Linked DNA regions of Macaca mulatta. The protein of the gene in region 1 interacts with the protein of each later gene in a biochemical or structural test. Links are inferred from orthologs where the notes say so. Each region holds a gene or a part of one and is shown in the gene's direction. Other genes may lie near its edges. The genes, in order: NF2, CD44, SPTBN1 and NHERF1.

The links.
Region 2: the proteins of NF2 (region 1) and CD44 form a complex in vitro, tested with the Homo sapiens proteins (2 studies listed by BioGRID, with this or other methods). The link is inferred for Macaca mulatta from reciprocal best matches to the Homo sapiens genes NF2 and CD44.
Region 3: the proteins of NF2 (region 1) and SPTBN1 form a complex in vitro, tested with the Homo sapiens proteins (2 studies listed by BioGRID and IntAct). The link is inferred for Macaca mulatta from reciprocal best matches to the Homo sapiens genes NF2 and SPTBN1.
Region 4: the proteins of NF2 (region 1) and NHERF1 form a complex in vitro, tested with the Homo sapiens proteins (2 studies listed by BioGRID). The link is inferred for Macaca mulatta from reciprocal best matches to the Homo sapiens genes NF2 and NHERF1.

The regions. Positions count from the first base shown.
Region 1 is NC_133415.1:21,879,505-21,886,769, reverse strand, and holds part of NF2 (merlin), read left to right. Parts: intron 1-1,080; coding exon 1,081-1,194; intron 1,195-4,815; coding exon 4,816-4,938; exon of another isoform or gene 4,939-5,556; intron 5,557-5,591; exon of another isoform or gene 5,592-6,244; coding exon 6,245-6,462; intron 6,463-7,265. UniProt on the Homo sapiens protein: Probable regulator of the Hippo/SWH (Sav/Wts/Hpo) signaling pathway, a signaling pathway that plays a pivotal role in tumor suppression by restricting proliferation and promoting apoptosis.
Region 2 is NC_133419.1:30,083,708-30,090,972, reverse strand, and holds part of CD44 (CD44 antigen), read left to right. Parts: coding exon 1-75; intron 76-2,902; coding exon 2,903-3,016; intron 3,017-3,485; coding exon 3,486-3,605; intron 3,606-6,289; coding exon 6,290-6,418; intron 6,419-7,265. UniProt on the Homo sapiens protein: Cell-surface receptor that plays a role in cell-cell interactions, cell adhesion and migration, helping them to sense and respond to changes in the tissue microenvironment.
Region 3 is NC_133418.1:70,001,943-70,009,207, reverse strand, and holds part of SPTBN1 (spectrin beta chain, non-erythrocytic 1), read left to right. Parts: intron 1-4,485; coding exon 4,486-4,632; intron 4,633-5,803; coding exon 5,804-6,067; intron 6,068-6,709; coding exon 6,710-6,934; intron 6,935-7,265. UniProt on the Homo sapiens protein: Fodrin, which seems to be involved in secretion, interacts with calmodulin in a calcium-dependent manner and is thus candidate for the calcium-dependent movement of the cytoskeleton at the membrane.
Region 4 is NC_133421.1:84,419,459-84,427,391, forward strand, and holds the start of NHERF1 (Na(+)/H(+) exchange regulatory cofactor NHE-RF1), read left to right. Parts: upstream 1-3,256; 5' UTR 3,257-3,427; coding exon 3,428-3,868; exon of another isoform or gene 3,869-4,436; intron 4,437-7,933. UniProt on the Homo sapiens protein: Scaffold protein that connects plasma membrane proteins with members of the ezrin/moesin/radixin family and thereby helps to link them to the actin cytoskeleton and to regulate their surface expression. Necessary for recycling of internalized ADRB2.

The DNA.
Region 1 (7,265 bases):
ATTTTGAAATAGGGTCTCACTCTGTTGCCCAGGCTGAAATGTAATGACACGATCATGGCTCACTGCAGCATGGACCTCCCCAGGCTCAGGTGATCCTTCCACCTCAGCCTCCCCAGTAGCTGGGACTACAGGCACACACCACCATGCCCAGCTAATTTTTTGTATTTTTCATAGAGACGAGGTTTTGCCATGTTGTCCAGGCTTATCTTAAACTCTAGGCTCAAGCAATCTGCTGGCCTCCACTTCCCAAAGTACTAGGATTACACTTCCCAAAGTGCTGGGCCACCATGTCTGGCCAAATTTTTTGATGTTTTTGTAGAGATGGCATCTCACTATGTCACCCAGGCTGGTCTTGAACTCCTGGGCTCAAGGATCCTCCCACCTTGGCCTCCGAAAGTGCTGGGATTACAGGTGTGAGCTACTGCACCTAAGCTGTTTTCTTTATTGGCTATATCTTCCAGTTGGTGGCTCTGTTTTTCTTTTTTTATGTCTTGACAATAAAAATGTTTAATTTTAATGTAGACAAATATATAAATTTTTTTCTTAATCACTTTTTGCGTCTTACTTGGCATCTTCTCTTATCCTGTGATCATTAAGATATTCTTCTATATTGTCTTCTGAAAGTTTCAAGGGCTTAATCTTTGCATTTAAGTCTTCAATCCTTCTGGAGTTGATTTTTGTGTAAGGTGTGAGGGAGGGATCCAACTTATTTTTTTCCACATGCACCCTGTTGCCTTAGCCCAGCTTACTGAATGAGCTTTCCTATCCTCCCTGGTCTGCAGAACCACATCTTGATGTAGGAGAGTAAGGTGCACCCAGAAGACATGGTGAAGTGTCCTCCAGTGCTCTCTTCATTTGTGATTTTTACCTCCTGGCATATCTGAGGCACCTTCATTTTGCATGTTTCCACAGCTGAGAGCACTAGAGGCCGCTAGCAGGGCGTTAGTGTTTCACTCCATGCGTTCATCTTCACGTTTACTGCTACCTGCAAGAGCTCAAACTGCTATAGCACTAGTGAGCCGGCAGGCAGTGAAGTAAATTTGTGGATATTAACCTTTTTGTCTGCTTCTGTGGCCACAGATTCTCCAGCTATGTATCGGGAACCATGATCTATTTATGAGGAGGAGGAAAGCCGATTCTTTGGAAGTTCAGCAGATGAAAGCCCAGGCCAGGGAGGAGAAGGCTAGAAAGCAGGTGAGCATGACTTTGTTTTAACTGATGATGTCACTGTGTGATCAGTCCTGGCCTGGGAGGTGAGGAGTGGTTGTGGGCTCGCAGGAGTCTTTTGGCCATGGACATACCTGCTCTTGTTTTATCCCTGTTGGATCTTCATTTGCTGATGCCTACCTGGTGGGATGTCAGCTCTGGAAATGAGGAATAAACCCTAATAGCATATCTAAAAGAAATATCTCTAGTAATTTCTACACTTGGAGAAATTAAGTGTGATTAACACCGGTTTGGGACAAAATAGCCAAGAGTGCATGCATCTGTCTGTCCAGCTAGCTAGCTTGCTTGCTTTTTTTGCCTGTCTGCCTCCTTGTGCAGCCTTCTCCTTTTCTAATTAGATGGTGATAGAATGCAGGGTGGCATTTCAGTGCTTGCTGCTGGAATGCTAATTGGACTCTGGCCGCAATTCCCCACTGCAGGTGAGACCGCATGGCATGTCACCTGCCCCAGGAGGTGGCAGGAGCACCTATCAGCAGACTGGATGATCTGCATCATTGTTTTCTACTCATAAACCTTCTCTACTCATGGAAATCCACACAACTAATTTGGGCCTTACTGCTGAGAATATCAGTTGTGTTTTTGGATGAACTACTAGATAGAGTAGCAGCGGTTGCAGTTGGCTGCCCTCAGGACTTGGAAGCTCAGAGGTGTAATAATTAGTCTGTGTGCACCTTTCTGATTTTGATACAATGGAGAGGCTGGCTCCCAGCCCTAGGATTTAGAGTGAAATGCCCAGTGTGCTTCCAGCTCTTCATCTCTTTGCTTTCTGAGGTGGCAGGCCACAGATGTGTTGTTTGGGATGCTTTGGGGGTGATGGGATGGATTTGTTGGACAAAGAAATCCTACTGAGCCAGCATGGGGTCATAGTGGCAGTTTCATGAAGAGCTCTTGGCAGTGGCTCATCCCTATAACTCCAGCACTTTGGGAGGCCAACGCAGGAGGATCACTTGCCTAGGAATTTGAGGCTGCAGTGAGCTATGATTGCACCACTACATTCCAGCCTGGGTGACCAAGCAAGACCCTGTTTCAAAACAGAAGCAAAACAAAATACCAAAATAAATAAGAAGAAGGAGGAGAGCTCTCTTTGACCTTTTTCTTAGCAGAGCAAAGCTTAGAAGTAAGAAATCTGAAAGTGTCAAGGAATATGTAGCCTGTGGGCCCCGGCAGAGAATAGCAGGAACACTGCGATCGGCACTGCCTACAGCACAGCAGAACCACAAACCTGGCATCTGGGCAACCACAGATCAAGGTCAGACACTGACCTTGGAGCCAGATCTGAAATTTAGAATGTGACTAAGTCAATGACTTACCTTCCAGACCTCAGTTTTCTCATCCATCAGGTGAAACTAATGATGTACCTTCTCCATCTCGGATGAAGGGATGTATATTACACCTTACAGTCTTTGTAAGCAGCAAACTGATTTTGTGAATAGGAGGTCCTTTATATTGGGGTAGAGGTCTCCAGGAAAGTACAGTGCCAAGAACTGAAGGAGATTACCTGACCTTTTTTTTTTTTTTTTTTTTTTAAATAAGAGACTGGGTCTTGTTCTGTCACGAAGACTGGAGTGCAGTAGTGCCATCATAGCTCACTGTAACCTCGAGCTCCTGGGCTTGAGCAATCCTTCTGCCTCAGCCCCTCAAGTAGCTGGGACTACAAGTGCATGCTACCACACCTAGTTAATTTTAATTGTTTTGTAGAGATCAGCTCTTTCTATGTTACCCAGGCTGATCTCAAACTCCTGGGCTCAAGCATTCCTCCCGCTTTGGCCCCCCAAAGTGCTAGGAAGACAGGCATGAGCTGCTGTGCCTGCCTGGCCTAACTGGGCTCTCTTGTCTTGTCTTGTCTTGTCTTGTCTTGTCTTGTCTTGTCTTGTCTTCTCTTCTCTTCTCTTCTCTTCTCTTCTCTTCTCTTCTCTCTTTCTTTAAGAATTATAGGGGGAAGTGGGGAGGGATAGCATTAGGAGATATACCTAATGTAAATGACGAGTTAATGGGTGCAGCACACCAACATGACACATGTATACATATGTAACAAACCTGCACATTGTGCACATGTACCCTAGAACTTAAAGCATAAAAAAAAAAAGAATTATAGATATGTAGTAAGCCACCTTATGGAAATTGTAATATGATGGAAATTAGAGAACAAATTGGCCAAGCTTTTCACTGACTTGCAAGAAAATTGGAGAACAACTTTCACCGTTTTATTGCTTGTCTTTGCATTATCTTTTCAAGCTCCAATGTATGTAGATGTGTGTATAATATGTGTGTGTGTATATATATATATATATATTTTTTTTTTTTACTTAGGATTTAGAAAAAGCAGCAGTCTTAGAAACCTTGTATGACCAGAGTGTGGGATAAGATTGAAGCAAGAAGTAATTAAATGTGCTTTAAATTATTTAAGGCAGAAAATAATGCAGTGGACACTTCTGGATTCTGCTTTCTGAACTCAGTTAGTACCCCAGGATCACAGAGGAATGGCACTGTCTTGTACTTGTTCCCCTTATTAAGCTCAGCATGTGGTCCAATTAATGCAGTGATCCAGAAGGCAAGGGAGGTAGTGGTGGCTTTGTACTGTTGCCTTAAGGACAGGGGGCTGTGTTCCCTGCCTGGCTCCCTCCTGTCATAGGCCTGGCTCAGGAGTTGTCTCTGCATGAGGCTGTGCAAGTCTGTGCTGTGGCTGTTGCAGCTCCCCCCTGTGAAATACAATGTGTGAACTATTGATGCATCACGTAGAATGATTCCATCTTCTCTGTGGGTCAGAGGCAAGAGTGGAGCTATTGTTGATGAAATCAGAGATGTGAGAGGGGTCCATGTGGATTAGAAATGGTGAGATGACTTGCCTGCCCAGATGAGAAAGCTGCTTATTTCTGGGGCTCTATCTGAGGGAGGAGGTCCTGCATTGTGTCCCATCAGCCACGGGGCAGAGCCACCTGAGGTTTCCCAACAAAAAGCAGCATTGGCAAGGTAGCCATTTCAGTGCACCATGTATAAGAATGCCTCCGTCTGCTGGGCACGGTGGCTCATGCCTGTAAATCCAGCACTTTGGGAGGCCAAGGCGGGTGGATCACAAGGTCAGGAGTTCAAGACCAGCCTGGCCAATATGGTGAAACCTTGTCTCTACTAAAAAATACAAAAATTAGCCGGGCATGGTTGCAGGCGCCTACAGTCCCAGCTACTGGAGAGGCTGAGGCAGGAGAATTGATTGAACCTGGGAGGCAGAGGTTGCAGTGAGCCGAGGTCATGCCACTGCACTCCAACCTGGGCGACAGAGGAAGACTGTCTAAAAAAAAAAAAAAAAAAAAAAAAAAGAATGCCTCTTTCTATCCAGGTCGAGACTCGGTTTGGTTTTTTGTTGGTTGTTCGTTTGTTCATTCACTACTAGAATTTTTTTCAAGTGGCTCAGCTTTCAACTCTGCAACTGGTTTAGAAGAATGGGGTGGGGAGCAATAAGAATGACCCTGGTTACCTAAAGGAAAGGGAAGGAAAAAGGTCCCAAAAGGGGAGACTCTGGAGATGGGGCATCTTTGGGCACCCTAGGTCTCGAGCCCTGTGATTCAGTGACTTTTTCTTCACCCCCCGCAGATGGAGCGGCAGCGCCTCGCTCGAGAGAAGCAGATGAGGGAGGAGGCTGAACGCACGAGGGATGAGTTGGAGAGGAGGCTGCTGCAGATGAAAGAAGAAGCAACTATGGCCAACGAAGCACTGGTGATTTCTGAGGGGCCGGGGTTCCAGGAGGCTACCTGGGGGCTTCCTTGGCTTTTCTGGAGCTCGGCCTCCTGAAGACCATGAGTTAGCAGCGTTTGCTTTGAAAGACTTAATTTCAGCTTTAAAAAAGATCAGTGCCTTTTCTTTCCACCTGTGTTGGCAGAAGCAGATTTAGTTTGAGCTTATGTGCAGCCAAATTCCACTTTCACCACGAGGTTGCCTTTACAGCAGGGCTTCTCAGCCTATGCACTACTGACATTTGGGGCTGACCATCCTTTGCTGTAGGCACTAGATCCCAGTAGCAGCACCTCACCCTCCATTTGTAACAATCCAAAACATCTTCAGACATTGCCGTATGTCTCTTTTTTTTTGAGAGACGGAGTCTTGCTCTGTTGCACAGGCTGGAGTGCACAGTGGCACGATCTTGGCTTACTGCAATCTTCGCCTCCCAGGTTCAAGTGATTCTCCTGCCTCAGTCTCCCGAGCAGCTGGGATTACAGTCACATGCCACCATGCCCAGCTAATTTTTGTATTTTTAGTAGAGACAAAGTTTCACCATGTTGGTCAGGCTGGTTTTGAATTCCTGACCTCGTGATCTGCCTGCCTCAACCTCCCAAAGTGCTATGATTATAGGTGTGAGCCACCGCGCCCAGCCATACTTTTTTTTTCTTCTGAGATGGAGTTTCGCTGTTGTTGCCCAAACTGGAGTGCAATGGCATGATCTCGGCTCACTGCAACCTCCACCTCCTGGGTTCAAGTGATTCTCCTGCCTCAGCCTCTTGAGTAGCTGGGATTACAGGCGCCTGCCACCACACCCGGCTCATTTTTTGTATTTTTAGTAGAAATGGGTTTTCACCATGTTAGCCAGACTGGTCTTGAACTCCTGACCTCAGGTGATCCGTCCGCTTTGGCCTCCCAAAGTACTGGGATTATAGGCGTGAGCCACCGTGCCCGGCCTGCCACATGTCTCTTGCAGGGGGCAAAAAGCTCCTCTGGTTTGAACCACTGATTTAAAGGGAAAGAGCAGAGTTTAAGTTGTTTTTCTCCACATGCAGCAGAAGCCTGGGCTGAAGTGGGTACTCAGAGAAGGTGCTCTTGTTACTCCCCATGGGTGCAGCCCAAAGGACCCTTCTGAAAAGCTGGGGAAAGGGGCTTGTCATCTCTTGTCAGAGAGTCATGGAGGGCACTCAGCAGCAGGACCCCAGGAGTCCGAGACTCTGGTTTGTCGCATCTCAGTGTTCAAGGCAGATCTGGGCGGGAGAATAACACATGATCCAGCTTCAGCTAAGAGCACCGTGCCCTCCAGATGCGGTCTGAGGAGACAGCCGACCTTTTGGCTGAAAAGGCCCAGATCACTGAGGAGGAGGCAAAACTTCTGGCCCAGAAGGCCGCAGAGGCTGAGCAGGAAATGCAACGCATCAAGGCCACAGCCATTCGCACGGAGGAGGAGAAGCGCCTGATGGAGCAGAAGGTGCTGGAAGCCGAGGTGCTGGCACTGAAGATGGCTGAGGAGTCAGAGAGGAGGTGAGGGGGCACTGGGCACCAGACTGGTGAGGAGGCTGGCGAAGGGCCGCAGACCAGCCTTCCCTGAGGCTGAGCTCTACAGCAGCTGTCCTCAAGCTGCTTCCCCATCTTCTGGGCGGGGGGAGGCTCCTCCTTGGCTGATGGTGACTGGTGCTTCATCCATTTTGGGGTTGGCGCTACTGGTTGGGCACAGGAACTCAGTTCTCCTGCTAGGTGGGCCCCTCTGTTGTGTCTCTTTGATAAGCCCCTGTCTCTCTGATGGCCGTGTGTGCAGGAAAACCCCTGAGCATATCCACAGACCGCTTTCAGCTAAAGAGATGTGAGGAGGCTCTTTGTGCATAAAAAAAGCAAAAACAAAACGTGGTTCTTTTCTGCTTTCATTCGGTGGGTCTGCAGGAGAACAGCAGCTGCTTACCTTTAAAGGAGAACTAGTGCCTCCATTCCCCAGCCTTCCTTGGCACATGGGGAAGGGGGGCTAGGATGGTCTCTGTGACTGGGACGTCCCACTCATGGCCAGGTTGAAGGATGAAACTGTTGTCTGTACTTTTGAAAGACTATTATAGGCCTGTAGCCTTCAGATAAACACTGACACATTCCCCACAGCTTTTGGCTCTGTTGATTTAGAGCACTTGAATTTGGCTTTTAGCTACCAAGGTGCAGTCACTACAGTTTTCCTCACCACTCTTTGCATGTCGTTCTGGGAATATGGTTCCCTTTTGCCTGCCCTGCTTCAGGCCCCTTGCTGTATGCGGGTCACACTCGCTGTGCATGATGCAGGTCGGGCCAGGCCTCACATGCCGTGT
Region 2 (7,265 bases), on another chromosome or scaffold:
AAGATGAAAGAGACAGACACCTCAGTTTTTCTGGATCAGGCATTGATGATGATGAAGATTTTATCTCCAGCACCAGTAAGAATAATCAATTACAGTACAGCCATTTATGCAAGGCTTATTGATTAATCTGAGTGATACCTAATTGTATCTCTCTTGAGAAGTAGTTAATGTGAAAAATAGGTGAACCTGTGATCATACCTTAGTTATATCTTGATGAGATTATGGAAGAAGAAATAGAATGTTTTGAGAAGTGGGGAAAATATCTCATAAAATTTCTAATGTCTCAGGTTCTTCCTGTTTTATTTATCAATGAAGTCTACTGCTACAGATTGTCTTTGAATGATCAGGCTTTGTCAGAGGATGACATTAAAACAGTCCAAAAAATATTCATTGTGTACTTACTGTGCTAGGTGCTGGAAACACAAAGATGAAAAAAGCCAGAGCCTTTGCCTTTCAGAATCTCATGGTCTGTTGGAGCAATAGACTTGAAGAATGTGATTAGGAGGGTATTAATTAAAATTTGTAGGCCAGGCGCGGTGGCTCACGCCTGTAATACCAAAACTCTGGGAGGCCGAGGCGGGCAGATCATGAGGTCAGGAAATCGAGACCATCCTGGCTAACACAGTGAAACCCCGTCTCTACTAAGAAATACAAAAAATTAGCCCGGCGTAGTGGCAGGCGCCTGTAGTCCCAGCTACTTGGGAGGCTGAGGCAGGAGAATGGCGTGAATCAGGAAGGAGATAGCGCCACTGCATTCCAGCACTCTAGCCTGGGCAACAGAGCGAGACTCCATCTCAAAAAAAAAAAAAAAAAAAAAGTTGTAGAAGATCCTAAATTGAAGGCCCTTAAGGCTTAAATGATGGGAGCTGGAACTCAAGAATTATCTTAATCAAAACCCGACTAAGGTCAAAGGAACAAATCCAGAGTTTTAACAAATGAGCTGGACACCAAAGACCTTGAAGGGAAGGGCAAATGTCAGGTTAGCTTTAACAAGACATTACCACTTATTAAAAGCAAATAATGAAACCACTATTGGTACATAATAGTATCCAAATTTTTGACAATTATAAAACTTTTTGAGAACAAAGAGATGGAAATTGAGCTTTAAAGATGTCCTTAAAAAGTTAAAAACATGCAAAGGTTGGTCTAATAGTCTGCCAGATTACTGAGTTTTCCACACATACCTGTAATGACTTAAGATTTTGCTGAATAGAGCTGAGAATCCTGAACCTGACTCCATCACAGTTTTGCTTTTCCTTAGAAAAAAGGCTTTTGGGGTGCTATGTGAGCTCCCCCAATTCACTGAAGTTCTATCCATTCCATTAAAACCTGACAATTTAATCCTCAAACGGATAGCACACAGAGAAGAAAGGGTCCAGAAAAAAAAAAATAGCTTAGGCCTTGAAGGCATCTGAATATATAACATTGATATAACAAATACTCAAAAGGAACTAGAATTTTCTATCTAAACTTTTAAGTGATTTTTTTAGACCCAGCACCCCTCCAGAGCTTAATCTATGGAATAAGAAAATTATTTTTGGTAACTTCAGAACAAAAACCAAATAATCAAAAACACTGGAGTTTTACATTACACTGTCTCCTGTGTTCAGGATGTGGCCCAGCTTTGCAGGTAGGTCCATTAGTAAAGACGTGGTCTTGATATTGAAGAAATTAAATTCCCTTGGGGAGTAACCCAAAGATATCTACCTGCAAATGAATTGTATGGTCAGGCTTCAGGGAAAAACTTCCCATGGTGTTTTTTTGTTGTTGTTGTTGTTGTTGTTGTTTTTAATTTTTAAAATCTCTATGGCATATTTTCCAATTTCAGTTTACTTTTCTGCTTAGCACCTATGGACATAATTCAACATGATGCCCTCTTTCTTCTGGAGGGGTGCGATAACTGCTTGATAATAAGCACCTTTTCATGCTTGTTGAGAATGTGGTTAATGATTCTAAACTCGATTTTCATAACTTGTAAAATAGAGCTGACAGTATTATAGTTCTGAAAACAGTTTTGTGTTATTTGGGTTTCAAAATAAAATTTGAAACAATTAGGATGGATTTGCAAATAACCTTTCCACAAAACACATTGATTCAGATTTTGTCATGATCTTTCTGTTAGGTGCATCTCCCATTCCAGCCCTAACAGATTGGGTGACGATATCAGGGTGCTGGTGGATGTATGCCTCTTTCTTTCCATTGTGCTTCTGTGATGGTGGCTGGTTACCTGTGGTGTCTTATTTTCTTTCATTGGCTATGAATGGCTTGCTCGTGACATATTTTGTATTTGATGAGAATACCATAGTGTTTGATAAATATTCAGAAATGGACAGCTAAAACATATGGCTATTCTAGGTAGGTAATATTTTTCGGAATCATCTATAGGAAAGCTCTGGCTGCTCAGACATTTCTTTCCCCACTGAAATTACTAACAACATAAAGTGATTATCATGGTATAACTTTCAGTTATCTGCCTCTTCACCCTGAGGATCTACAAATAGCACACAGTGACTAAGTCCCTGGGCTTTCAAGTGCAGAGGGATACTACAGACTGCATGGATGGGCAAAATGGTGCCTTTGGTTATCCTCGGTGAAGGGCTGGTGTTTTCAAAGCTGTCCTTCCTACTGCTGCAGCTTCTTTGACTGTTTTATCTGGAAGATCTCATGTTCTGAACCCTAAGGTATTCTATGACAGAATGCAAAGGACACTGAGATGCTTACCAATATGGCTGAATTAAGCTGAAGGCATCCTCCGCTTTCCCTCCATTTCCATGCCGCCATCTATACAACCTGGTATAGATGATTCATTGCATAGTCTACAGAAACAAGACTATATGCGAGACAAGTGGCGAAGGCTCAAGAAATAACATTTTTCTAATTGCTTCAATCATCGTTATCACAGTTTCAACCACACCACGGGTTTTTGACCACACAAAACAGAACAAGGACTGGACCCAGTGGAACCCAAGCCATTCAAATCCGGAAGTGCTACTTCAGACAACCGCAAGGATAACTGGTAATGGGTTATGCATATTTAATGAAAGGTTTTTTTTCCCCTCAAAGCCTATGATGCTGCAAAGGTCAATCATCGGGACACAGTGGGAAATTTAGCTAGTATCTCATCAAGAAATTCTTAGTGGACTTTCATGAGGATACTTAATTCCATTTAGGAGTCATTTATCAATTATACCATGTGGGTATATTTTTATGTTGCTTCATTATAAAAATGAATATGTTTGAAGGATTTATGGTGCTGCCTTTGACAAACTGATCATAGTGGAATAATAAGGGAACATGAAGAAATTCCAAGCCCATTGATTTTCTCTTGAGACCAATTAGGTAAAGTCACTCAAAATTTTTGAGAGTGGATGCTCAGAGATAATACTTTGGCATAGAATTGTTAAATAGCATGCACTTTAATGGAAGAACAGAATCATTAAAGCTTGATTGATAACAAGTCACAGTGTATTTAACCATCATCACAGCAGATGTAGACAGAAATGGCACCACTGCTCATGAAGGAAACTGGCACCCGGAAGCACATCCTCCCCTCATTCACCATGAGCATCATGAGGAAGAAGAGACCCCACATTCTACAAGCACAAGTAAGCAAGATGGCGGTCGGCAGTTCTGGGTTAGATGAGTTAGTGAAGACATTCCAGCAATAGGGAAGATTTTGTTTAGAAATTGGCCACATCTTCTATTTCCACTTAGTAATTTATTTTATTCTCAGAGCCTGAAAATCTGCCAAACTTGCACACAAATTTTAAAAATTGGAAGGAAAATGATAACACTTCAGGTTGCCCAAAGACCAAAATGTTTTAAGAAGTAGATCTAGATACAATTTTTGTGTTAAAAGTTCCTAGAGGTTCCATTTGGGTAACTTGTGTGTGTTTATGGAAATGTGTGGCAAAGTGTGTTCTTTTGGTGCTTAGTAGTGAAATCTGGAAAGAAAGCTTGTCAAGTGAATTGATCTTTGGAATCCTTATTTTCTATGAAGATCTTTGATGAATATAGTTTCTTTTTTGCATTCTGTCCTTGACTGTTCTATAGTCCCTTGTACTCTTTAGAACAAAGTTGGTAGCTCGTATGGTCTGCATTTGAATTCTATCACTGCTTCTTTTTCTGTTTTTAAGCCCAAGGTAACTTGGGGAAGGCTTTGATGCTCTTACTGTTATTTCTACTATTATGAAAACTTGTCAGTTTTTCTAAAACAATCTCAAGTTGCAGCACTGGACTGTGAGAATAGGGGACCCCCTCACTCCCCAAACATAAGAAGTAAGTGCTTTTCTTCTTTTATCTGTCCCACTGAGATATGTCTATCTTATTTGGAATAAGAGTATTTATTTTGGAAAACAGCTTTTTAGCATTTTTAAAATGATGATTTGACTGTCATTCTCACAGCCCTAAATACACCTAATGCGGAAATGTGAGCTATAGCCACTTAAAAACCAAAGGGCTTTGGGAATCTATAGCTTGAGGTGTGTCTTCAGACAACAAAAGAAAAGTTTCAGGTACCAGCTAGGATAGAGGTTAGACGTTGTACTAAATATATCCAGCAGACCTTACATTCCATTACAAACCCCAGTAGATCTGATGTATGCATAAGGCTTACGGACTAAGTTAACAAAGAAGTCTAGGAAAAGAAAATACAGAGGAAGCATAAATCTCTTTGGAATAGGATTTTGTTCCAGTCCCTTAGAGCCCTAACTGTATATCTTAGAAATTGTTTTAGACAGTTTGCACTTAAAGACCAGAAAGCTACTTTAGAGACTTGGAAATAATGAGCCTATTGTCAAAAGGTGGTGCTTGGGGTGCATTAGGACTAGAGGGTAGGTGAAAATTCAGACAGAATGTAACTTGACAAAGAGAAGACAGTGAAAACTGTAACAATTCTCTTATGAATATTTGCGAAACTCAAAGGGATCTGATTGGTGACCTCTGGTCTTTATCAAATTAACATCACAACTTCTAGAAGAAAGTCAACCTTCATCTTTTACAATAGAAATCATATGTTTTGTGAACTCATTCCTATTTAGGCTGAAAACAATAAAGAGTTATGGGTACTTTAAAAACTCATTAAAGTAGTGATAGAAGGAGTATAGAGTCCTTCTATGCAGTCACACACATACACTTCCTTATTTCTTTTATTTAAACTTTGAGTAACATGGCAGTCTATGTTTGGGTCAATATTCCTTTTTATGTAATTACATTCAGTGGTTTTTCTAACTTCATTATTGGTTGGGAATTAGTGATTTAGTCAGTGGTAGGTAAAACTTAAGATTCTGGCTTTTTTCCCCTCCCCCTGGATAGCCAGTTAACCCAATAATGGCTTGGCCAATGTAAGGGTAAAATGAGGACTGTTCTATTTTTTAAATGTCATTGCCGTCACCAAATCACACATATCATTTTCTAAGATAATGAAATACAACCATTTTACAAGTTACAAAAAAAATACTCTGGCTTGGCAAGTTAATAGGCTCTCATTTTCTTGATAAAACAAAATTGCTTTAAGTTGCTATAGTTAAAAATGTTGGTGGCTTTCTGACTTTTCCTGAAGGCACCTTGATGGAATTTTATTCTGTTGATTTTGTCCTTTTTAAAATAATGGTTGAAATTTTAAGCCTGTCACACACTATTATTTATATAATGCCTCAAACTGGCTTGGATAGTTTTTGTCAACTGAATTAATTTTGTTAAAAAGTGATTTTAGCAATTTTAGGCGCCATATGAACATTGCCACATAATGTGTTAGTGAAATAGCATTCAAGCCATCCCAACACCTTTCCTGCTGGGCAAATCCACTGCTGGTGCATTTCCAGTGTGTGCAATTATGGGTTACATGACCACCATTTGAGACGGTCTCCTAATGCGCTGATCTTGTCAGTTGTTATACAGTATTTTCCTTTCATCAGAATGACTGGAGCGAAGAGGTTATTCTTTGAATGGTTTTCTAAGACAGGGTATGTGACGCCATACACTACAGTAAAATAAAAATAATGATAACTCATAGAACTCTGAGAATTCATCAGCTATGGTCTGCTTAGTCCTATGGTTTTGAACAAATCAAAACCTCTTTGGACCACAATGTTCCCATCTGAAAAATTAAATGTTTGGATCATTTTATTTCTAATATCCCTTTCAGAATATCAGTGGCCTGTTTCCTTGCTGCTTTTCTTTTCTACCTTCTGTTCCCATGTGTATCTGCCCTTAAAGTAGAAAGATACGTTGACAGCTATTGGCAAGGAAAATAGAAAATTATGTCTCCCAACTGATATTCTTCTCACAGTCCAGGCAATTCCTAGTAGTACAACTGAAGAAACAGCTACCCAGAAGGAACAGTGGTTTGGCAACAGATGGCATGAGGGGTATCTCCAAACACCCAGAGAAGACTCCCATTCGACAACAGGGACAGCTGGTAATGGGTGGTTTAACAAGTAAATTTGGATGGCAACTTCCTTTTGGGTTAAATGGTAGACATTGAGGACACTGAACAAAAGGACATTGGAGGAATTGTCACAAGATGTTAGGTTACTTAATAAATTATGCTGCAGTTAACACAGAGCCAAACCTTAAAGGCTCATAACAAGTCACCTGAACAGGAATGGATACAAGCCAGTTACGAATAAGAACAGGAAACACAGAGAACATGCCCTTGAACATGTCTCTTTCACACCGAGTTCTGGGCATTATCTAGTGAGATTGTAGCGGAGGCCCTGATAAAATATCCCCTTTTGTCGTACAAAGGAATCTACTCTAGAATATGGGTCCAGACTTTACAATGTGATTCTGCAAAGTCTGACTTGTGAGAAAGCATTTTGCTAGAACTCCAGTGTTTGAAGAAATAGAGCCAGACATTATGTGAAAAATGACACCTGTCTGATGTCATTTGGCCTTTTGGCCATGCCTGTTTGGTAATTTGTCCTTGAGTATAAACAAGCCATCTTCTCTATTCTTGAACTGTGAGATTGTGGAAATTGGAATCAAGTCTTATCATCATCTCTAAGTGATACCAGATGACTTGGCTCTGCAAGCTCCCATGCAGGATATTTTGTCTGTGTGACATAAGTATTGAAATGTGTCCTGCCTTATCAAGAATGTGAATTCCATATTCTCACTTGGTATCAGTGAGAAATATTCCCATATTTCTATTTGCAATATAGAAGATAATACGTCATGTACTTCTGGGGCATGGCAAGTTCTGAATGAATTCCTGGCAGAGCAATGGATTCTGTGACTGTCTATGTGGTGTGGTTGTTGCTAAG
Region 3 (7,265 bases), on another chromosome or scaffold:
TCACATGTGGTATTAATCTGATGATCATTGTACTATTTCATGCTCTTCTGATACATTCACAAACTTTGAAATCTAAAGTTGGCCAGAAAAAAGTAGTTTCTCTGCATGCTAGTTGGAGAATAGCATCTAGCTGATTTCACATGTGGAGTTTATGAGCATACCATATTTCTCTGTCTGCCGGAGAATAACAGACACTCAGCCCTCTCTGGTTTATTAAAATAAAAATCCTCAGGCAAAAATGGGGTGAGGAATATCCACACAAAACTGCAGGAACCTTGATGGGGCTAAGAGTATGGGGGTAGAATCAGGTCATATGCTGAGAATACAACTCCTATCATCACAGACACCCTGCATGCAAACATGTGACTGTGCATTAAAAGAAATACGGCTCCAATGACAGCTGCGTTAGATCACGTATAACAGAAGCAATCCTTTGCGTCCGTTAAACTGCTGTCTTACTGTGAATCTTGCAATATGCTCTTGCAGCAAAACCTTAAGAAGGAAAGCCCCTAAACTATGAAGCTTAGGGTCTGTCAGCTTTAAGCACCACATTGATGAATCTAGGTCTCTGGGGGATTTGCCTGGAGCCAGACAGGCTGAAGACAGGAGTGCCTCGTCTAAGTGACACGCAAGCATTAGTAACCCATTTGAATAGGATACTCACTTACAGAGGCATTCGTGTTCCAAGACAGGGCATAGAAGAGAGTAATGGGATCTAAAGCTAGCTATATGGAGTTGGCCTAGTGTGCTGTAGTAATACCAGTTGCCATTTTTCACCATAGGGAGTAAAAGGGATGAAGAGGTGTTTGCAGCTTGGACTGTGCCTTCCACAGATTGGTAGTCCCTGTTCCACGTTGAGGAACCATCAGTGACTCCCTGTAACCTCAGCCCGTATTCCTGGAGATGGGGAGGTCAATGGGATCCCACACTCCTGCTTTTAAAGGGCAAGTTAATAAGATGAAATTCATTTACCTAACCATGGTAAAGCTAAGGTTAAATCTGAGAAAAAGAAGGCCGGGGTGCGAGCACATGAGTGGCCAGGGAACCCTTGAGAGAAACTCATTTGTATTGGAAATTTCCAGTCTCTTATTTTCCACTGACATATGTAGATTTCACAAGTAGACATATATGGGAAAATAAATACATAAAGTTTTAGTTCTTCCCGATGGAATCACAGGAAATGGTCAGTCTTAATAGGTCTTTAGATCTTTGTTTCCACTTGCTCTAAATTAGCATCCCTGGTTATGAGGAGTTCTTTCCTCCACACACACCTTGGCTGAGTTCCAGTGATTGTGAGGCATGCCCAGGGGCTCTGTCTTCTGTGACTTCTCCTCAAAGGACACAGGAAAATTTAGGTGGGGCTTTTTATGTCCAGGAGATGATTTGCATATCTCCATGTGATTGCTCTGCCAACTCATCTTGGTTTATCCTGTCTTCCCTTGTTCTGCCTGTCTGTCCTTGAGCCACATTAGAAGTTAGTACAGCCATAGTGCGTGTGGGAGGTGTCGTGTATCCCACACCAGCATGTATAGTCTCTGCATGGTTGGTGGAATTTAGGTCAAGCTTGGGGGCTCTAAAACTCTTGGTATAGTACTATAATCAAAAGGGTGATACAGTCATTGGCTATAAATTTTCCCATCATTCAGCCTTATTAAAATATACCCCTTTTAAGCCAGAATCTTTTGAGAATGGTGTTTGTGTGTGGACCAGCCCTACATTTGATAATCTACCTGTCATTCTGGTAGATATTTACAGAGCACTCAGAGGTCAAATTTATTATTATTACAGGATGTTGGTATTGTTCAAGATATGGGGAATCCAGGGGTTTGTCTCTTTTTTCGGCTTCCTTCCTTGTTGGGTGCCTTGGCTAGAGAAGGTGTGGGTTGTAAGATCCACCCCTGTTGCCACCCGCATAAACATCGCCTAGATGAGGACAACTGTTATACCAGCAATACAGTATGCTGGCATATACAGTATGCTGGAATGAGCAGGGACCCTCCTATTCCCAGTTACAGTGGGAAGATAGAGACCATCATCATCTTTGTAGTGTTTTTGTTTTGTTTTGAGACAGGGTCTCTCTCTGTTGCTCAGGCGGGAGTGCAGTGGTGGGATCTCGGCTCACTACAGCCCCCACCTCCCGGGTTCAAGCGAGTCTCCTACCTCAGCCTTCCGAATAGCTGGGATTCCAGGCACGTGCCACCACACCCAGCTAGTTTTTGTATTTTTAGTAGAGATGAGGGTTCACCCTCTTGGCCAGGCTGGTCTTGAACTCCTGGCCTCAAGTGATCCACCCTCCTTGGCCTCCTGAAGTGCTGGGATTACAGGCGTGAGCCACCGCACCTGGCCTGTAGTGTTATTTTAATGTGATGTCCTGAAAAATGAATGAATGATTTTAAAGGTGTTCCTTTTTTTGTTGTATTTCCTCACGCTATACCACCTATTTTCTGGAACTGATTTTTATTTTTCCAGGAAGGCAGGCAGTATGTCTACATGTGTCTGGTACAGGGATGTGAGTTAATCCTTTGCTGTTAGCTTAATTCAATGATCAAAGTATTTTTTCCTTATCTTTTTCCAATCTGCACAGTGTTCTTTTCTGCAGAGAATGAGTAAATTCTTAAATGACCTTTGTAAATGCCCACAAATAATAACTGTAGCTCTGGCTCCAGAATGCTGATGAACTAGCAAGTTCCATAGATCCATTTCATTGTGCTGTATCGCATGATGCTTTATCTGTAGGATGATGTGTTCAGCAAAGAGCAGATTTGTTTATAAGCCTCTGATTTTTATGTAGCGCTCCCTCTCTCTCTTTTTAATCCCTCTTCAATAGGTGGTTATGAATAGTGAAAATATGTGAATGTCCTTGGCACTTGGAATCGATAAACGCCTTCTATTTTGTGTGTATGTACAGAACACAGGGAAACATTTTGTCATTCAGTTTCCCTTTAACCTCTTTTCCCCTAAGATTGAATGGCCATAGTCTTTCAGATTTAGCTGCCCAGAAAACTGGAACATAGATAATTATTTCAAAGTAGGAAGTGCAGTGCCTTTATTGTGTAATACATCCATTGTCTTTGATGACAAAGGGCTTTATGAGATTTGCTAGTTTTTCCCTCAACCAAGAGTGACATCAAAAATCTCACTACCTTTTGCTTTTAACCCCCTCCCACCCTCTGGCCCCTGTGCCATTCCCTGCGTGGTGAGTAGCCCGAGAAAGGTAAGGACAGTACCCAAGAGTTCACCCACTTTCAGAGTCGGGGGCTCCTGTGACCCACATCACTATCCTTGACATCATTTCCAAAAAACAAATCTCTGGGGGGGCCTTTCCTGGCAGCAGCCCACAGCGGGAGTGGAAGGGCCTTGGAAATGTTAATTCTGTAAGTACTTCTACTGGTTTTATGTGCCACTTCTAGATCTTTGTTGATAGATCCATGAAGGATTTAAGGTGCCAATTTGCTGTGACAATAACTGGTATAAAAGTGGGCTTCTCACGGTCACTCAGGAGAAGAGATATGGTCCCTTCAGTTGGTTGCTTCTAATTCCAGGCTGGCTCTGCATTCTTTTGTGTATCTTCAGCCTGGGCAAAAAAAAAAGCTTTTCCTAGGTTAGCACAGCAAATGGGGTGGGAATCAGAACTCTGGCATGGCGTTTACAGGCAGGCAGTAATGAGCCAGGGCCGATTCCGGATGGAAGCCAGGAAAAGTGGGTCTGGGCCTGGCGTTTGGCTGACCCCAGTAAGACAGCTCCTTTCTCAGGTCTGTCAGCGGCCGGCAGCCTTTGTGTGGCTCTCCAGAGTTCAGATCCAAGCGGACATGTTGGGTCTCAAAATCAAGTCCTGTGAAGTGTTCTTGGTGTGAATGAAAGGTTCTTAGAGAACTTGAGGCTATAGAAAAAGAGGTGAAGGTGACTCAAACTTGAAGGAAACATTGAAAGGGCATCATTGTTGCCTTAGCCCTACAGTGAGCAAGTTATTTATGCCTTTTGGCATTCCCTTCGATGCACCCGCAAAAAGGAGGAGGTTACAAATAAGCAGTTTTTGTTTTGTTTTTTTAAATAAAAAAGAACTAAAAGAGTTAGAAGGATTGCCAAATGGGGTAAAAGTCAATCATGATTAACATGGTATAGCTGACACAGGTATTTGGAAGAGAAAAAGGGTCGTGTCTTGGACTGGTCAGGGCAGAATTTTAAACACGGGCCTTTTGTGGGGAAAGCCAGTTTTGAGTGCCAAACAGTTTGAAAGCTGGCTTATAGAGCTTTTGTACTTCTGGAATGAATGTTAGATATAGTTTGGAGCAGAGCTCAGGTACAAGCTCCATCTAATGGACACCTGTCATGACGGGTCGGAGTTGTGAAGTTAAATATTTGGCTGTCTGTCACCATGGAAATGTGTGTAGTATGCATAATATGACATAAACACAACCCATTGCAGGCGGAAAAAAGGCTGACGTCTAGGATCACAATCGCTGAATCCTTCTGATCTTTCCCTAGCTGTCTCTCTGGATCAATGAGAAGATGCTCACGGCCCAGGACATGTCTTACGATGAAGCCAGAAATCTGCACAGTAAATGGTTGAAGCATCAAGCATTTATGGCAGAACTTGCATCCAACAAAGAATGGCTTGACAAAATCGAGAAGGTGAGTTAAAACATTTGATGTGGCCATGGTGAGAAAACAAACAGGGTAGTAATAACCTCCCTTTTATTTAGCACATTTTCCAAAACATCTGAGTCTTATCTGTACATTTACGTAAGTTACACAGCCAGTAATAGCAGCTCTCTTTGCACTTACGGGTTCCTGAATTCAACCCATCAAAAGGGAAAAAAAACAGAAACCCAACCAGATAGTAGAAAATGCTTGATTTATCTTAGAACGAATATTAGGCATTTAGTTTCTATCGTGCCTCTCATCTGCTGTTGCTGATGGACTGTGAGCTCTCATGCAGGGATTCCCCTATCTTGATCATATTATTTGTGTTGCACTGTGACAGATTGCACATAATTTTAAATATATACATATTTTTTAAAATTCCTTTTTCCTGTGAGACTACTGTATACCAGGCACTATAATAATTATTATAACTTGTAATTCTGGCACAGAGATTCCGTGCAGCATAACTGAAGATGAACGTGGAGTTCCCCACCCCTCCCTTCTCTCCTTTTAGACTTTTTAAATTGTTTCAGATTCTTCATGGTTAAAATAATGTGTTGGCGGAGCATGGTGGCTCACGCCTGTAATCCCAGCACTTTGAGAGGCCAAGGCAGGTGAATTACTTGAGGCCAGGAGTTTGAGACAAGCTTGGCCAACATGGGGAAACCCCATCTCTATGAAACGTACAAAAATAGCCAGGCCTGGTGGTGTGCGCCTGTAATCCCAGCTATTGGGGAGGCTGAGGCATGAGCCCAGGAGGCAGAGGTTGCAGTGAGCTAAGATCACGCCACTGTACTTCAGCCTGGGTGACAGAACAAGACCCTGTCTCAAAATAATAACAATAGTAATAATGTGTTTTATATCATCTTTGGTCATGGAGTAGAGGGGATGAAGTCAGGTTATTAGCATTCATTTTTCCATTGCCTCAGTTGAAACTGTTTCAGCATTTAGCATTTATTGCTTCATTCCCATGAAACCCATGTAATGTATGCAAGCTAGGCCATTGTTGATTTTATTGAGCAGTAACTTCATGTGGAAATACTGTGTGTGTTGAATGAGTGGGTAAATCACAGATCAAATGTCCTAGGTTTGTTTTTCACAGTGACATTTTTTCTGTAGCAAACTGTTTATTTACAACCATGCTGGTTTTGTTTTCCAGGAAGGAATGCAGCTCATTTCAGAAAAGCCTGAGACGGAACCTGTGGTGAAGGAGAAACTCACTGGTTTACATGAAATGTGGGAAGTCCTTGAATCTACTACCCAGACCAAGGCCCAGCGGCTCTTTGATGCAAACAAGGCCGAACTTTTCACCCAGAGCTGCGCAGATCTAGACAAATGGCTGCACGGCCTGGAGAGTCAGATTCAGTCTGATGACTACGGCAAAGACCTGACCAGCGTCAATATCCTGCTGAAAAAGCAACAGGCAAGTGGACAAGCCTTCATGGACTTGGGTTTGTTTCTGTTTTACAGCCGTAGTCCTTACAGTCTTTTCTCACTCACTGCATTCTCAGGAGTCCACCTTCCATGGGAAAGCATTTGTAACCCAGAAAAGTACTTGCTCTAACAGCATCATACAACATTTCCAGAATAGAAAGCTACCTGTCCAGCCTAGAAAGACACAGTATTAGGAGTATTGGGTGTCGGCTGTCTGTGTATGGGATTGATAATTTTCTTAGTTAATAGGTGTTATCGCTATTTAACAGTTAAATAAATACTCATCTCACTCAATTCTGCATTTTACATTAAAGAAATATTCACATACTTTGTTGTTTAACATCTTGATTTGTGACAGTTATCTGAGTTGTTCAAGGCACTTTATAGATAATAAAAGTAACTGTTTATATTACATCACTGTAGAGGGCTTTAAGGGCAAATGAATTTACCTCAAATTTACTTGAAAACAGTTCCATTGATGTTGAAAAAGCTAATCAGTGGCAAAATCTTCCAGTGGCTCCCATTGCTGGCTTTGCAGTGTGGCCAAGTCCCTGGCCCAGCAGTTCTGCTTAGAGCCAGTCACTGCAAAAGTAGTCTCTGCTGAGCGCTGAGGCTGCTTCTTTGCCTTCAGATGCTGGAGAATCAGATGGAAGTGCGGAAGAAGGAGATCGAAGAGCTCCAAAGCCAAGCCCAGGCCCTGAGTCAGGAAGGGAAGAGCACCGACGAGGTGGACAGCAAGCGCCTCACCGTGCAGACCAAGTTCATGGAGTTGCTGGAGCCCTTGAACGAGAGGAAGCATAACCTGCTGGCCTCCAAAGAGATCCATCAGTTCAACAGGGATGTGGAGGACGAGATCGTGAGTCAACCCCGGCTGCACACATGGCTTTTCCACAAGCCCCCTTGCCTGTCCTAAAGCCCATGTTCTCACTTCTCAGTCAACCTCACCTTGGGCCACGTTGGCAAGTTGAGCTGTCAGAGTCCACGCTCTGGATGGTCTAAAGTTTCTTTCCCTTTTCACACTAAGTGCAACTCCATTGTGCCTCTCATGTTATCTAGGGATACTCTAGGATTTTAACGGCCCTAAAACAGACTTTTTAAAAGTAATGAGGACTCACAGTGAGTCTGATCTTGAGGATGAGGTAAAGTTGGAAATACTCTCCCTACCCCTGTCTCGGAGAACAACGGCA
Region 4 (7,933 bases), on another chromosome or scaffold:
TCCCAAGGGGCAGAGAGGAGGCTCTGGAGGCCCACGGGATGCAGCCGTTCCCCCCAGGCCTGGCTTATTCCAAGCAGCTGAGCCAATGGGGAGAAAGATGGAGGACCCAGTGCACAGCCTCTTCCTACTAGGGAGCTGTACTCCAGCTCCTACTTGAGTTCCTGCGGTCTCCCCGCATCCACGGGGAGGGTAAAACACTTAGCTTTTATTTGAATAGTACATAATTTAATACCAAAAAAAAAGGCACCTGGATGCCCAAAAAACCGAGGCTGGGCCCTAGTAACCCTTTTGCTTTCTAGGACTTGGGGGGCTGGCCTTCCCTCCTAAGCATAACAAAGGTGGTGTTGCTCCAGCTCAGCCCCAGGGGACACAGATGCACTTTGGGGGTGAGGGCAGGTAATGACTCCATCGCACCCTCAGTTCAGCTGGAGAGAGGCTGAGCTGACCCCAGCCTTCACTGTCTTCTGCTCTCCAGGAGCTTATCTTCACCCCATCCCCCAAATAAGTGGGCCCTTGTGCTGTGAGGGAGACCAAAGCCTCAGGGAAGATAAGAGATAAGGAGATGGGAGGTGGAGGACACAGGGCAGAGAGTAGGGTCGGGCTGGCTACCTCTGGCCTTACTAACACCCCCTTGGAGGCATGCCCCTTTTCTCCAGCACACAAGCACACTGGGGCACCTGGAAATATTGGTTCCCGGCTCCTGTTCTCTGGACCTCAGATCCTGGGGGAGACCCTCCCCATGGAATCCCTGGCTTAGCTACCTTCCTGCCTGTGCACCTAAAAACCTCAGGTCAGAACCAGGAAAATAGTTTTGTTTTTTATTTTTTTGAGATGGAGTCTCGCTCTGTTGCCCAGGCTGGGGTGCAGTGGTGCAATCTCCGCTTACTGCAACCTCCATCCCCTGGGGCTCAAGCGATCCTCCCACCTCAGCCCCCCCAAGTAGCTGGGACTACAGGTGTGCACCACCACACCTGGCTAATTTTTGTATTTTTTGTAGACACAGGGTTTCGCCATGTTACCCAGGCTGGTCTTAAACTCCTGAGCTCAAGCGACCTGCCGGCCTCGGCCTCCCAAAGTACTGGGATTACAGGCAGGAGGCACCACGCCCAGCCGAGATGTGTCTTATCCCAATCCTTTGGCAGGCATGCAGCTCCACAGGCAATTTCTTCAAGCAGCTGAAGTGTTTAGCTCTCCCGGGTTAAGAGCCAGATAAGGAGAAATCCCTTTCCTAGGTTTGGAATGTGTTGTGAAAAAGAAATCCCTGGCTCCTGGAGCTGGTGGGAGACAAGATTAAGCAAACCTCCCCCCACGTGTATCCCTTTGACCCCAAGCTCTGCCTCCTCCCTGACCACCCATGCCCTTTCCTTTAACTTCTCAAATAGATACCAGGGCCTAAACTGCTTTACCTCCCCACCTACTCTGTCAGGTTAGGGGGTGGGAGGTCACCCATCTCTGAATTAAACCAATGCAATGTGAGTAAAACAAGGTCATGTGGGTATGTCGGGGGTAGAGAGAGGGGTAGCAAGTTCATGTGGCCTCTTTGGTCACATGTCTCCCAAAGCTCTGACCCCTGCCATTGGAACTGGACAGGAGACATGAGGTCATGACCTGCAGGCACCTTTACTGCAGCTCTGCAGGCCTGGGTGGGGATGGGGGGGAGGAAGAAGTATGCACTGCACATTTCTGAGCCTACAGCATTTGCTTTCAAGGCAGAAATCTTGCTCTGAGCAGTCAGCGGCTCCAGTTTGGGCCCGATGAGGAAGCTCTCCGTGGCCTCTCCCAGGCAGAGCAGGGAGGAGGCTGACATTGCCAGTCTCTTCTGGGGCCCAAGGCAGGTTGCAGGAGCTCCAATCCCGTAGACAGCTCTGGGCCTCTTGCATTTGAGTTTTTCAGAATTAAACTGCAGTATTTTGGAAAGCACATCCTGTCCACTGTTTGAAGTAAGCGTGGCAGGGGGGTCCTGTTGAAGGAATTGTCATTCACTGCCAAAATCATTCCATCCTCCTTCCTCAGTGTCTGTCCTCAGATGGCCAGCTACCCTCCTAAGAGATTGTCTCCCCGCCTCTGTGACCACCCTCTCTTTGGCAAGAGTGAGCTAGAAGGCTTTACGGTCCTAATCATTTTTCTCTGTTGAAAAAAAAAAAACCAAGGCCTTTCCCTGTGGAGCGTACCCAGAGGTTGATTACCTGAGTCTGTCCTGCCTCTCCCCACCCCACCTCCCTAGTCAAACGCTGCGCCAAAGCCCACGCCATTGGCCTAGATGGCCTGTCTTCAGTGGGCTGCCCCTCGGGGTCCCAGGCTCTCCTTCGCTGAGCCCTCATCTTCCCAGCAGGGATCAGAACCTGCACTCCTCTATGCAAGTCCTGGGACAGCACAAAGTGGATTAGGGTTAGGGTTCCCACAAACGGAAAAATGTTATTCAAACAACTCTGTAGGTTCCCAGGAGGCCCTCCGTCTTAATTCTTGAGACCGCTAGGCCCTCACTGCCCCGAGCGCGGGAGTGGTTGCCACGGCAACAGCCTCTCCCTCTCAATTGGAGCTGCACCCAGGCTTTGGCTAAAGGCTGTTAAAACGTTGGCCAGGTGCGGTGGCTCACGCCTGTAATCCCAGGGCGGATCATCTGAAGTCAGAAGTTTGAAACCATCCTGGCCAACATGGCGAAATTCCGTCTCTACTAAAAATACAAAAATTAGCCCGGCGTGGTGGTGCGCGCCTGTAATCCCAGCTACTCGGGAGGCTGAGGCAGGAGAATCGCTTGAACCCAGGAGGCGGAGGTTGCAATGATCCGAGATCGCGCCACCGTACTCTAGCCTGGGCGACAGAGCGAGACTCCGTCTCAAAAACAAAAAAAAAGTTAGAGCCCTTTATCCGAGGGCCAGCTCTCCTCACTCCCCGCCACAGGTAGGGGAAACCAGGCCTGAGCCAGCGGGCCCCACCGCCCAGAACCGGGAACTCGGCGGGCCACGCCCCTGCCACCCCAGCGCCGGCCGCTCGGTAACAAACACTTCCACTTCCTGAGCGCACTGTCTTCGCCCGCTGCGGGGCGCAGTGCCGAGCACAGGCCCCGCCCCGCGCGCTCCCATTGGCCGGCGCCGTTCACCCGGACGGAGCGCCCCGGCCCGCAGCCCCCTATTGGCCCGCGGAGGTCCCCACCCTCAGTGCGGCCCCGCCCCCGGGGTAAGGAGCTGGGGCGGGCTCTGGGACGCTCAGACGCCGCGCGGGGCGGGGATTGGTCCGTGCAGTTCTTTCGGCTCCTCGCGGCCCGCGGCGGCCGGCGGTTCCTGGGACACCTGCTCGCTTCGCCCGTCCGGCGGCTCAGGGCTTCCCCGCTGCGCTCCCGGTTTGCCGGACAGGAAGAAGGGCTGGGCCGTCCCGTCCCATCCCCAACGGAACCCCAAGTCGCGCCGCTGACCCGTCGCAGGGCGAGATGAGCGCGGACGCGGCGGCTGGGGCGCCCCTGCCCCGGCTCTGCTGCCTGGAGAAGGGTCCGAACGGCTACGGCTTCCACCTGCACGGGGAGAAGGGCAAGTTGGGCCAGTACATCCGGCTGGTGGAGCCCGGCTCGCCGGCCGAGAAGGCGGGGCTGCTGGCGGGGGACCGGCTGGTGGAGGTGAACGGCGAAAATGTGGAGAAGGAGACCCACCAGCAGGTGGTGAGCCGCATCCGCGCAGCACTCAACGCCGTGCGCCTGCTGGTGGTCGACCCCGAGACGGACGAGCAGCTGCAGAAGCTTGGCGTCCAGGTCCGAGAGGAGCTGCTGCGCGCCCAGGAAACGCCGGGGCAGGCCGAGCCGGCGGCCGCCGCCGAGGCGCAGGGGGCTGGCAATGAAAATGAGCCTCGCGAGGCCGACAAGAGCCACCCGGAGCAGGTAAGCTCGGCCCCGGCCGCGCAGGCTAGAATGGAGTGGGAGGGGGATCTAGAGAGACCCAGGTGCCCCGGCCGTCCAGCCCCGCGCCGGCCGTCGTTTTTCTGAAACTCGAGCTGCGAGGGGGAGACCGCTTCCGCCCGCCTACCAGGCGCTCTGGCACATCCTAGGCAGGCCTGGGGCTGCGTCCCGCGACCTCCTCTCCTTCCCAGGCTGTGCTGGGAGCCTGAGAGCCTTTGCCGCCTGCACCTCTTGTTCCCTGGCCTTTGGGAGGGCGGCGCAGGGGAACCCAGCCCCCCTTCCCTCGGGTCTGCGGGTGTCTGCTCCCCTTCCTCGGAATCCCCCAATCCTGCCCGTCCCCTGGCGCCCTCTCCTCGTTCACCCCAGTCCGCAGATGGGCCAGGGAGGAAGGGCTCTCCTCCCCAGAGGTGCCAGCTTCCCCCGCCACTCCTACGTCAAAAGCTAGAGAAATAGCATTACTCCTGTGTGGAGCCCCGGCGCAAGGAGGCCCTCCCCGCAGCCCGCCGGTGTGTGTCCTGAACTTCAGTCCTGCAGGACTTCATCCTCCCGGGACTTCTAAGGGAGAGGAAGCCCCACCATCTCAGGGCGGTGTGGGGGTTGCCTGGCGGGGAGGAGGAGCCAAGGCATCTCGGAGTGGTGGTTCTGCCACCTCAGAGGATTTACGATTCTCAGGAATGTGAGGAGTAAGCGCCTAGAGCTGTATCTGGGAGGGGAGGGGGAAGACCTTAGAAGAAGAGAAAGATGGCTAGGGGGAGGGGAGAGAGCTCCTGAGGCTCACGGCCCTGTGTGCGCCAGCGGAGCTCACGGTGAGCCGGTGGTCTTGCCCTGGCCTTGCCACGGTCACTCTGGTGCCCACACAGCCAGCAGGCCGGTTGCTTTTTGCCCATGTTTGGTGTTTGCCCATAGGATCCCAGTTTGGATCAGCTGCAGGAGGGGCAGCTGGCAAAACAGGAGTTGTGCTGAGCCTCCTGTCCCCAGAGAGTGGAGTGGTGTACTGTGTAGGGCAGGGCGTGAGCCTCCCAGGGCCCCTTCAGTTTGCACCAGCTCGCCCTGGTGGCAGTGTCTGATGGGAGTGTCCATGGGGACCAGGAGGATCCTTCTGGACAGAGAAAGGGTACAGTTTGGCATTAAGGGAGAAGGCAAAGCCCTAGAGGATCAACTGGTTTGGTGGAAGTGAGGTCACCAGAAGCCCTGTCCAGCCAGAGGTGGGTGCTGGGAATGCCAGGGCCACCAGGCTCCCACTTCCTGCCCCTGCCAACCTGGCATTGGCAAGGGGAGGGGGAAGGGACCTGAGCACCCGTAGCAAGGGGGTTGACACCAGGGAGTTGGGGCTGATGATCTCCAGTCCCAGGCAGAAATCCAGTGTGAACTTTATGCTGAGTCCATCGATCGATTTGACATTCTTTTTTTTTTTTTTTGGACTTTGGAACCCACACAAATACTCACCCACCCCCACCCCCCACAAGTTACAGTCTCATTCAGCTCCTCCCTTTGCCCTTTTGGTTATGCTGCTGGGTGCCAGAGGGCCTGGGAGGCTAATGTGGAGGCCTGGCATAGCACATGTGCCCAAAGGCAGCAGCTTTGAGCTTCCTGGGTAAGCACAGAATCAGATTCCTGCATGTTTTGGAGGGACACCTACATTTGTGTGTACTTTGTTAGGCCAAGAGATGAGAGAAGAGCCACTAGCAAATCCTGGGGACACCATCACCAGCCAAGTTCGAGGACTTCTGAGCTTTGGTTCTCCCATCTGTGAGATGGAGGCATTGGGCGATGTGATGCCTGCCTTCTCTAGAATTGTAGAAATGACATGAAGTACCTGAGCCTCTTATTAAAGTTTTAAATGCTGAACCGCACTCCTTCATGCCCGGCGTTTGAACCCCAGATCCTTAAACTGACTCCTAGTCAACACCATTGAGTCCCTCTAGCAGAAAATCCCCGCAACCCCGTGTGTTGAGCATACAGATGGCCCGGGCGGTTATTGCAAAAAAATGTTAACAGACATTGTAAGAGTTCTTTTTTCTAAAACACACCCCTTTACTACTAAAGCATCAAATGGAGGTTTGCCAGTTCGCTTTAGTCTGAATTTGTGTGCAAAGTGGGGCTGTTTCCTTATCTTCATTAGCCCTCCACTTACTAAGTGAGGATCTCAGTGGAAAAGTGTGGCACAGAGAGTGGTTAACTGGGTGGCCTCTGGCTGGGAAGACCAGCCGTGTCCAGAACCACTCATGGCAGAGGCTGATGGGTGCCTGTAACACTGGCCGTCCCCGCTGGGATGTCTAGGCCTAAGGAGGTAGAAGTGGCTCTCCAGCTCTGCCCACCGGCTTTGCTTTGTGGATGGCCTTCCCCTCATCCCCCATGGGGACAGAGGGGCAGCAGCACCCGCCCTGCTGCTCCCCTGCTTAAAACCCTCCTCCCCCGATTCACCACCAGTCACAGGATGAGGCCTAAACCCTTGAGTCTGGGTTCAGAGTGCCGGCTGCGCAGAGCTGAGCCAGCTCAGCTGTACTAGCCAGGCTGTGCGGAGCCAAGTTACTTCACCTCTGTAAGCCTCCATTTCCTCTTGTGTAAGTTGTTGGGGGTGATGGCAGCTACCTCGGAATTGCACGAGGCTGTGTGTAAAGCAGGTAGCTCAGTGCCTGGCACTGAGTCCAGGCTCATCCAGCCTTTGCAGTTGGTATTGGAATGAATACATATTTCACAGTGATCATTGCACATCTATCATGGGGCAGCTAGCACTGGGTCAGCCTCTGCCTAGTTGGGCAAGTGCCACTGTGGCCAAGCCTGGCACCCAGTCAGTGCCCGATCAATGGTCACTGTGGGTTAAGAATGATATGTTGTGGCCAGGTGTGGTGGCTCACACCTGTAATCCCAGCACTTTGGGAGGCCAAAGTGGGAGGATAGGATCGCCTGAGCCCAGGAGTTCGAGACCAGCCTGGGCAACATGACAAGATCCTGTCTCTATTAAATTTTTGTTTTTTTTTTTTTTAAAGAGTGATATGCTGTTCCATGGCCCTTCTCCATCTGTCATCCTGTTCTCACCACTACCTCCCTATCCCCAAAACCACACCCAGGGTCCGAATTCGTCTCTAGCCTCTGAGCCTTCATACCCTGACCGTTCTGTCCCTTTCCAGGGAGCCTGTCCTTAATCCAGTAGGCAGAGTTAGCATTTCCTTTCCTTCATTTTTTTTTTTTTTTGAGACAGATTCCACCCAGGCTGGAGTGGTGTCACAACCTCGCCTCACTGCAGCCTCGACCTCCAGGGCTCAAGCGATCCTCCCACCTCATTCTCCCTAGTAGCTGGGACTACAGGCATGCACCACTACGCCCAGCTAATTTTAAAATTCTTTGTAGAGCTGGGGTTTCGCCATATTGCCCAGGCTGGTCTTGAACTTCTGGGCTCAGGCGATCTGCCCGCCTCGGCCTCCACCTCCTCTTTGTCCTCACATCTTTTATCGCTCTGAACACACAATATTTTAATCATCTGTTTGTGACCTTTTTCTCCACTACATGGTAAGCCCAAGGGCATCAACTGTGGCCTATTTGTGTTTCTATCCCCAGCCAGTCCTTGGCACACGGCAGGGAGGCTCTCAAAAACAGTTTTTGAATTAATGAATGAATATATAACAACAGTCAGGGACCTTTGTCCTCATTTAGCTCATCCCGCCCCACCCAGAGATTGGAATTCCAGATAGAACCTACCAACTCCTCTTTCTTGCCTGCTAGCAGCTTCCATTTGAAAACTAGAAAGCCAAAAGTCCAGGCTTTGGGGTCAGCCAGATCAATGTTGAATCCCAGCTCTGCTGTGTGCTGGCTCTGGGATCCTGGGAGTTCATTTTTCCCTGCAACCCTCAGCCTCCACCTCTGTGAAGGGCACTGCCCGCAGGGTTATTGGGAAGATTTGGTGACATGACAGGTGTGTAAATGAAAGTGCCCAGCTTGGGGTGTTTCCGGCCAGCCCTGACCCTGATCCCAGAGGCAGAGAGTGCAGGCACCCCAGGGAGCAAGATGGGTGGTGGGGCACAGTTAGCTGGAGGACCATCAACCTCT